Nothobranchius furzeri: one gene and its partner. The protein of the gene in region 1 binds, or shares a complex with, the protein of each later gene. Links are inferred from orthologs where the notes say so. Each region holds a gene or a part of one and is shown in the gene's direction. Other genes may lie near its edges.

Region 1 (4,539 bases):
GGCAGCGACAGAGATGCTGTTCACCTTTACTACACCACGGACAACTCCAGAGTTTATCACAAAGAGGAGCTGAAGAGTTTTGAAATACAAACAGAGGTAGAAATAATTAAATCTGTCTATAAGATTTCATCTACATTCTAATTGGTACTTTATTTATCTTTAGCACACGGATGCCGTTGAGTTTCTGATCCACTCGTATCCCAACTTTGTGACAGTAGGAGGCTTGCCATGCGACTCTGCTCAGGACAAGGTGGGTTCTGACATTCAAACTCGTTTCTGTGCCTTAATGGTGTGAATTTCTGAAAATAATCTAGTTTCCTCTCTCCTCACAGATTGCTTTGGCCGAACTGCTTTTTGAGAAGGGGATTATCCGCACAGCTGAGCCTCCTCAGATAGCTTAATTACACCGACCATGTTCATAAACAAACTTCAGTAGTCATGGATACGGTTCTTTCGCAGCTTTTTGATACATAATGTATAAAATAAACATTATTTCTTTGAAACACAAAGGGCATGTTTATTTTTTAGTTGATACAACTCAAAATAATATACAGGATGTTTTTCAATTAAGCGATTTGAAGACCATCCATCAACCATTCACACTTCAGCTGACAGGACTGTCTGGGCATCTACTTCCAGGTCACCTCTTCGCCAGGCTTCAGCTCTCTATCAAGAAGAAAGGAGGTTTGTTTTCCATGTGGCTGCATTAAAAAAATCTTTATTCCACACCTGAACTTGCTGCTTGCAAAGTTAGATGAATTGTGAGACCGTGGTATGTGTGTGTGAGGTTTCTTACCTTCTAAACAACACACTTTTGTTCCTGAAAGCTGTCAGCTTCTGGTCTTGTTGTTTATCAAGGTACCATCCGATCACAAAACCCATAGGAACCAATACGTGTGTCCAGTTTATCTGAGAAAGAGCAAACTTCACCATGGTTCCTACAAAAAAAGCACAGAGTTGTACTAACTTCATAGTACTGATTATGTTTTATATTCACTAAAGCTTGTTACTGGTATCAATCAAGTTTAAGCTTGTTCCTGCTCTTTTTTGGGGGTGGGAGTTGTTTTCAGTTGTAGTATGTTATTATCCAATTTATTTTTTCTTTTTTAAACAAAAGAAAACATGTTCATAAGAGCCAAGCTCCAAAACAACGACATAATTATGGCCATCAGCTTATTGATGTTGGATCAAATGCAATAAACAAAACATCCCCCTAAAATATATGATGTAGGACATTTTATTAAGCAAAGAAAATGTTGAAATGTAACCGAAAATACAGCTGGACACCGCATTCAGTTGAAGCTAAAGCGTTCCTCCACAGCTAACATGCTAAACACTAGCGACTACTGCGACGTTTGGTTATAAATAACTTTACCTGTTAATGTTTAGTTTAATAAACGTTCGCTCAAAGCTTTTATAACTATCAGACTCAGACAATAAAACATAAATCCAGAAATTACCCGCTTTTTAACACAGTCGTGGCCTTCAGGTCTTCCTTCACCAAACGAAGGACATTCGTGGACTCTACCAAATGCAAAAGGATCACGTGATCATGAAAATCGATAAATACTTACATATTTATTTCATTATATTCTATATTCATTATATTGAATTCCAATTTTTTGCATTTTTTATGTTTTAAGTTTAATATAAAGAACTTTAAATTATGTGTTTTGATTTAGAACTTCTTGACTGTAAGTGGTACGTTCATTTGCCCTTTCACCTGTGACGAACGTGAAAACATGGCCGCTAGTCGAGCTGTTAATTGCTAACAAAAATGTCTTGGATGTTATTATTACAAGAAAACCCCCACATTTAGGCGTTTTTTTCTGTTACTGCGAAAGATAATATTTATTTTTTTCTTGTATTTGATGGTATGTCTCCCATTCCCTTGATTTTGTTCATTCATATACGCAAGCTAATATGTGGCTAAGCTAGCAGGCTAAGCAGACTGCCGGGTAATTCGACAACAATTGTTGCGAAAATCAGACAGCTTTCATTTAGATTTTCTTACGTTTTAACCTTTGTAACGAGATGAATACAAGCCCTTGTACTCACAGTGATATGAAATTCACTATTATTGTTCGGTAAAATAATGGCACATGTGTGCGTGGTTTTGTTCATATTCAAACTAGTTTCAAGAAATAGACGTTGAAGTTGTTTGTACTTGTGGGCTCTGTTGTGTCATTTCAGCGAGACAAGTGAAGGAAAATGACGTCCATTATCAAGCTGACAGCCGTGTCAGGGGTTCAGGAGGAGTCTGCCCTCTGTTACCTGCTGCAGGTGGATGAATTTCGCTTCCTGCTGGACTGTGGATGGGACGAGAACTTTTCAATGGACATTATTGATGCCATGAAGCGGTAACAATGTCAAACCATAATTAACAATAAGAGCTATCCACAAGAAGGAATGGGTTGTTCACACATTTTCCAGAGTTGCTGAAAACATTTATTTATTTCTTTATTGTAAAATCAGTTTGAACTCATGACTTAAGTAGTTTTTCCACCCCTAGCTCACTTAATTTTGTGTTTGTTCTGCAATCAAAAATATTGTTCATCATCTCTTCCAGATATGTTCATCAGGTCGATGCAGTGCTGCTGTCCCACCCTGACCCCATTCACCTGGGAGCCCTGCCCTATGCTGTTGGCAAGCTGGGTCTAAACTGTACTATCTATGCCACCATTCCGGTCTACAAAATGGGTCAGATGTTCATGTATGATTTATATCAGGTACTTAAAATTGTAATTATATTAAAAAATGCTAACATATACATTGTTTTGCATAAAACTCTGTTTTTTTTAAATATTTTCCCTTTCCCTCAGTCTCGAAACAACAGTGAAGATTTCACGCTCTTCACCCTTGATGACGTAGACAGTGCTTTTGACAAAATCCAGCAACTGAAGTACTCTCAGATTGTCAGTCTGAAAGGTGAGCATCCTACAATCCATTATAGATTAAAGAACCCTCCAGTTTATGTGGTTAAAATCATCTAATTTTCCTCACAGGTAAAGGCCATGGCCTTTCCATCACTCCTCTTCCTGCTGGACACATGATCGGAGGCACCATATGGAAGATTGTCAAGGATGGAGAGGAGGAAATTGTCTATGCAGTGGACTTTAACCATAAGAGAGAAATGTAGGCAGAGGTGTTTGTATAAAACAGAAATCTGGTAGCCTGTCGGGTTTTAGCTGATGTGTTCTTTTACTCCTCTCTGTTTCAGCCACCTGAATGGCTGCACTTTGGAGAGCATTAGTCGTCCATCCTTACTGATTACTGACTCCTTTAATGCTACTTATGTACAACCACGCCGCAAGCAAAGAGATGAGCTGCTGCTCAGTAAGTTGTCCTCACAACGGTTACCAATTTTAGCATCAAGCTTAAACTAGATTGAAAGAATTTCTTGAAAATAGGTGTTAGGGTTTCAGCTTGCATGTTTAATGTTCTCCCTTCACTAATTGTCCTACTTTTACAGCTAATGTAATGGAGACCTTGCGTGGGGATGGGAATGTCCTTATTTCCGTGGACACGGCTGGACGCGTCCTGGAGCTGGCACAGCTCCTGGACCAGATTTGGAGGACAAAGGATGCTGGACTGGGAGTTTACCCGTTAGCTCTGCTCAACAATGTCAGTTACAATGTGGTGGAATTCTCCAAGTCCCAGGTATCAGTCACTGGTTTTCCCACTTCCTTAGTATTGAAACGGAGACCTCGTAGGAAATATGACAAACTACCGCATTTCTAATTTCCTGTAGGTGGAGTGGATGAGCGACAAACTCATGAGGTGTTTTGAGGATAAAAGAAACAATCCCTTCCAGTTCCGACACCTGACCCTGTGTCACAGTCTGGCAGACCTGGCCCGGGTCCCCAGCCCCAAGGTGGTGCTTTGTAGCCAGCCAGACCTTGAGTCTGGTTTTTCCAGAGAACTTTTTATTCAGTGGTGTCAAAACGCAAAAAATTCCATCATCCTGACCTACCGCACCACACCTGGAACGTTGGCGCGCTACCTCATCGACAACCCTGGGGAAACGATGCTGGATCTGGAGGTGAGACTGGGTTTTTGATGACCAACTTTTCACGTGGTCTTTGTTTCCTACTTTCACACTTAAAATGTTTTGTTTTATTTTTGGCAGGTCAGGAAAAGAGTGAAGCTCGAGGGCAAGGACCTGGAGGAATATCTGGAGAAGGAGAAAGTGAAGAAGGAAGCAGCAAAAAAACTCGAACAAGCAAAAGAGTGAGTCTCAGTAGGAAAAGGAAGAGTTTATGTATTTTTCTGACTCTTTCTCAGCAGTTTGAACCTGTCGATGTCAGAGAACAGAAATAAATGACCTTCTAGGTGATTTTAATCTGTTTTGTGCTTGTTCCACTCTACTTCCTGGGTTTGCAGGGTGGATGTGGACTCGAGTGATGAGAGCGACGTGGAGGATGACATCGATCACCTAGCTGCGGTGAAAACCAAGCATCACGACTTGATGATGAAGAGCGAGGGGAGCCGTAAAGGCAGTTTCTTCAAACAGGCTAAAAAGTCTTACCCGATGTTTCC
Region 2 (4,426 bases), on another chromosome or scaffold:
AAGTGCTATCCGTTTTTATATTAGACTTTTTATATTTGCAATAAAGTCCAAAAGTGAAGAATTTGTGTTATTTATTGCTTGATTGTTCAAGCTACCTCACAGAAGTGATCTGTTGTTAAAACTTAAAATGAAAAGGTAATTAAATAAAAAAATAAGGAACATTCTGCACTGTTTCTTCCTTTTCTTTTTCTTTTTTTTTTATGTATCGAAAGTATCGGATCGGGACTCGGTATCGGCAGATTCTCAAAATCAAATGACTCTGACTCAGACTCAAGGGCAAAAAAACCTGATCGGGACATCCCTAGTACTAAGTTCTTCCATCCGGATTCTCACCAGTTCCTGGAGCTGGTAGAGCTGAGTTTGTTTTGCACATTGAATGCTAATCATCTTCTGAAATTTCCTTTTGCATATCCTTTTCCCATTTGGTTTTTACATATTGTGAATTATTTCCATTACATTTTTTAATACAGCTGTATAATTTAGAAACTACCTTGGACGGCAATTGGTTTTTCGAGTTCAGTATAATTTTAACCAGCACATTACAGTTTCCCGCTAGTTGTGGTTTCACCTGAATGTCAGAGAAATGCCTCAGTTGTAAATATCAAAATAAATCTTTGTTGCCTATTTTAAACTCTTTTTTTAACATTTTCAAAAGATTAAAGGTGGACTCTATATTTTTACATTTTTTGTTTTTGTGAAGCGCCTCGTGATTTTTATCTTGAGAGGCACTATAGAAATGATATTTTCTTCTTCTTCTTTTATTACTTTTTATGTGCTCTTGCTTACTCTTCCATGTCAGTTTGTGGGCCCCCTAGTTCCAAAAAAATGTATGAGCCAATAAGTTGTTTTCTGATCCTGTTTGAAATGTGCCATTGTTTTGACATATGATGTCTGTGAATTTAAAAAATACAATTTTATGCCAATAAAGTGTTTATTTTTGACAGGTGACAAAAGTTACTTTAGGTTTTGTGTAAATGACGTAGAGGACGGTCTACAAATACTTGTCTCACCAAATTTATGTAATTGAACCAGACACAGAGAAGATGAGAAAAAGAATGGTGACAAGCTGCAAATCCTTCCAGGATGAAAGAAGATACATTAAATATGGAGAAAACCACCACAAATCTGGCCATGTGGTAAGTAGCAACTATGCTGGGGGAGAAGAGACTCAGCTGTGACGTCACAGACCCAGCGTCAGATCAGTAGTGATTTTAATTACGAAATTGTACAAACAAATAAATTTTAAACTATGTGACAGACAAACGAAAATTAAAAATGACTACATATTTTAAAACAGAAAAAAAAACTCACTATAAAATAGGAATCTAGTAAGGTTCATCCTGGAAATAATTTTACAATTCATAATATTCTTCTCAATAAGTACTCTTCTCATTTTTCATGAAACAAAAAATTAAAGCAAAAATAAAAAAATAAAAAATAAAAAATAAAGAGGCAAGCATTTTCCAAGTGAAACGTGAAAGGCCTCGTTTATCGATTAGTTCAGTCTAGATCCGTCAGCTCGGTGATCGTTGTGCGCGCGCCAACACCGTCACGCTGAGCAACGAGTAGAACGATAACTAAAACGGAACTGACAGACCTGAACCACGGTCAGAAGTTTTTTTTTACGCAGTAAAACTACAAACTTAGTTTATTTACATGTTTTCTAATTATATTTTGTTAATCTGTTTGACCGTCAAGTTTCGTTAGCCTACGCTTTCGTTAGTGTGCGGATGAGGTAGCTAAGCTAACAGGTTCGATTTCAAGCTAGCACAGGCGAAAACAACTTATTTGGCTTGAGGGCAGAAAACCAAAGCAAACATGCAGGACTTGTTGGCCACCGTGGATCACATCAAGTTCGATCTGGAACTAGCTATGGAGCAGCAGCTGGGAGCGCAGCCTCTGCCTTTCCCCGGCATGGACAGTAAGTGTAGGGATGCTACCTGCTATTAGCCGCTTTATCTGAATGAACCCTAATGAGAGAGCTAACGGCAGGTACACACATGCTTGTGTTAATCAGTTCTGTGCTAATGTGTCCCCCTGTAGAGTCAGGGTCAGCTGTGTGTGAGTACTTCACCAGAGGAACCTGCATGAAAGGTAAAAAAATATAATTTCAGTAGTTTTTACTTCGTTTTGTTGTTGGTCACGGGTCCATGTGTGTTTCCATTAGACACACAAATGCTGCTTATTTTATTTTAATCTGAAACGTTCATCAAAGCTTTACAATTCTAAATAAAATGTATTGGTAACCCTCCACTCACTGGTTGTCTCCGCATCATGGTTCTGAATTCCTAATAAAATTCTTTCTAGTGTGCAATAGAGACTATAGCTAAACCGGTGCAATCTTTTCATAAACAGACCTTTTCTATTTATAAAGTGTTTATTGTTACTCTTTGTCACATTTTTATGTTACTTATGATTCTCACTTCTATTTTTATGCCAAACACAGAGTCAACCACCGCTTCTGATCTCGCTCTTCCTTGTAGTGACATTAACATAAAAGATTTGATTTGTATGACAAAAGAGGAGAAAGTATTTTGACTTGATTTCTTCTGACTCTTGTTTTTGTAGCTCTGCAACAACCCGACTTTGCAGTTGTTCAAATGAGATGAATGTTGTAACTGTGAATGTGATTCAGGTGGGATGTGTCCGTTCCGTCACATCAGCGGAGAGAAGACGGTGGTGTGTAAACACTGGCTCAGAGGACTGTGTAAGAAAGGAGACCAGTGCGAGTTTCTCCATGAGTATGACATGACAAAGATGCCTGAATGCTACTTCTACTCAAAGTTTGGTTAGTTGACTTTCTCTTTATCTTTAACACATTAAATGAATTCTAAGTGTGGCTCTTGTGCCTCTTAACCACTCAACACTTGTCTTCAAGGCTCTGAATATTTTATTTCTTATATGTGTTGACCCCCAGGTGAGTGTAGCAATAAGGAATGTCCCTTCCTGCACATTGATCCAGAGTCTAAGATCAAAGACTGTCCATGGTACGACCGAGGCTTCTGTAAACACGGTAAGATCCGGCATGTGGGTGAGAAAAACTCTTTTTCTGCTCTTTCTTCAAACGGCTTCTGGATGTTTGTGTGTTCAGGGCCTGACTGCAGACACAGACACACAAGAAGGGTGATCTGTGTGAACTACCTGGTGGGTTTCTGTCCAGAAGGAAAGTCCTGTAAATTTATGCAGTAAGTCATTTGTTTTATTTGATTTTTTACATAAATTACCTGTTTAAGATCCAGTTTTTATTTAGTAAAAGTGGATTTTTGGGTTAGGAGATTCTGAAATAACACAATCAAAGATGTAAAATTTACTGAGATGTTTTCCTGCAGCCCCCGGTTTGAGCTGCCTATGGGAACTTCTGAACAGCCTCCTCTTCAACAGCAACTTCAGAACCAGACAAAGGTACGACCACTCACTCACAAATTTATTAAACAACTCTTAGTTCAGCCAACTTTAAAAAAATTATTTTTTCTGCCTTTTTGAAGCAGGTGAAATACATAAATATTTACTATTTTTTCTAAAGAGCTTCTAGAAAAGCCTCTGTTGGGAGAAATAAAGTTTAAGTCTGACTGGACTGATGAGCTAATGGCTAGTCTTGGAGCTACTGAAGTGTGTTGTTATCTGCAAACAGCACCAATCTTTAGAATTAACTCTTTGGGCCCTGGCGCCTCCCAATTGGAGGCCTTTGGAGTTTCATGTCCCAAATGTCAGTGATTGTTTGCATTCCCCGAGTACAGCTACAATCAAAACAGTTTCGATTTTAAACAAAGCAATTTTTGGATTTTGATAAATTAAGATAAAATAATACTTGAACTTAATTTTAGAAGAGGAGGGCTGTGTGACAGGGTGGAGGTTGTGAGTTCAAATTCGATTTCAGAAATTTAGTCTTATTTTATTTATTCCAGGGGTCCTCAACTAAGTTTGTTCAATCGTTTTTTGCAGCAGACACCAGTGAAGGCCAGACGCTTTTCTAAAAGTTCAAATATCATTGTATCTTAATTTATTACAATTTAAAATGGCCTTGTTTCCCATCTGGGCTGTTTGATTGTGGTTTTAGTTGTTTGGAGAATGTGGACAGTTGTAGATGTTTGGGACATGAAACTGTAGAGGTCCCCAATAGGGGGCGTTAAAACAAGAGTTTGAGTAGGGCTGTGCAATAAACCGAAAATGTATCGTTATCGAGGAGAAATCCTCAATATATCGTGATATTGATTTTAGGCCAAATCGCCCAGCCCTACTTTTGAGACACATTCACTGCCATCCGTATCACATGACATGGAATTATCTGGTTATTTTCCAGCAGCAAGTCAGGGGTTAAGTCCTCCTGGAATTACTTAATGTTTCTCCTCTTTCCTATTCATTTTCTCTCCCTTTCCTCGCAGTTTTTAAATTTATTGTAATTTAAAAAAAATTTTGTAATTGTTTT

The links.
Region 2: cpsf2 (region 1) and cpsf4 share a complex: the UniProt entries of both Homo sapiens proteins name them as parts of the cleavage and polyadenylation specificity factor (CPSF) complex. The link is inferred for Nothobranchius furzeri from reciprocal best matches to the Homo sapiens genes CPSF2 and CPSF4.

Annotation. Positions count from the first base shown.
Region 1 is NC_091742.1:9,301,816-9,306,354, reverse strand, and holds the start of cpsf2 (cleavage and polyadenylation specificity factor subunit 2), read left to right. Parts: upstream 1-1,723; 5' UTR 1,724-1,874; intron 1,875-2,193; 5' UTR 2,194-2,211; coding exon 2,212-2,360; intron 2,361-2,569; coding exon 2,570-2,729; intron 2,730-2,822; coding exon 2,823-2,928; intron 2,929-3,005; coding exon 3,006-3,135; intron 3,136-3,220; coding exon 3,221-3,336; intron 3,337-3,472; coding exon 3,473-3,660; intron 3,661-3,751; coding exon 3,752-4,042; intron 4,043-4,129; coding exon 4,130-4,230; intron 4,231-4,383; coding exon 4,384-4,539. Other genes in the region: riox1 (ribosomal oxygenase 1), read left to right, coding at 1-96, 164-250, 333-401; NADH dehydrogenase [ubiquinone] 1 beta subcomplex subunit 1, read right to left, coding at 630-666, 797-933. UniProt on the Homo sapiens protein: Component of the cleavage and polyadenylation specificity factor (CPSF) complex that play a key role in pre-mRNA 3'-end formation, recognizing the AAUAAA signal sequence and interacting with poly(A) polymerase and other factors to bring about cleavage and poly(A) addition.
Region 2 is NC_091752.1:65,592,236-65,596,661, reverse strand, and holds the start of cpsf4 (cleavage and polyadenylation specificity factor subunit 4), read left to right. Parts: upstream 1-1,516; 5' UTR 1,517-1,818; coding exon 1,819-1,921; intron 1,922-2,043; coding exon 2,044-2,094; intron 2,095-2,635; coding exon 2,636-2,788; intron 2,789-2,917; coding exon 2,918-3,013; intron 3,014-3,091; coding exon 3,092-3,185; intron 3,186-3,329; coding exon 3,330-3,402; intron 3,403-4,426. UniProt on the Homo sapiens protein: Component of the cleavage and polyadenylation specificity factor (CPSF) complex that play a key role in pre-mRNA 3'-end formation, recognizing the AAUAAA signal sequence and interacting with poly(A) polymerase and other factors to bring about cleavage and poly(A) addition.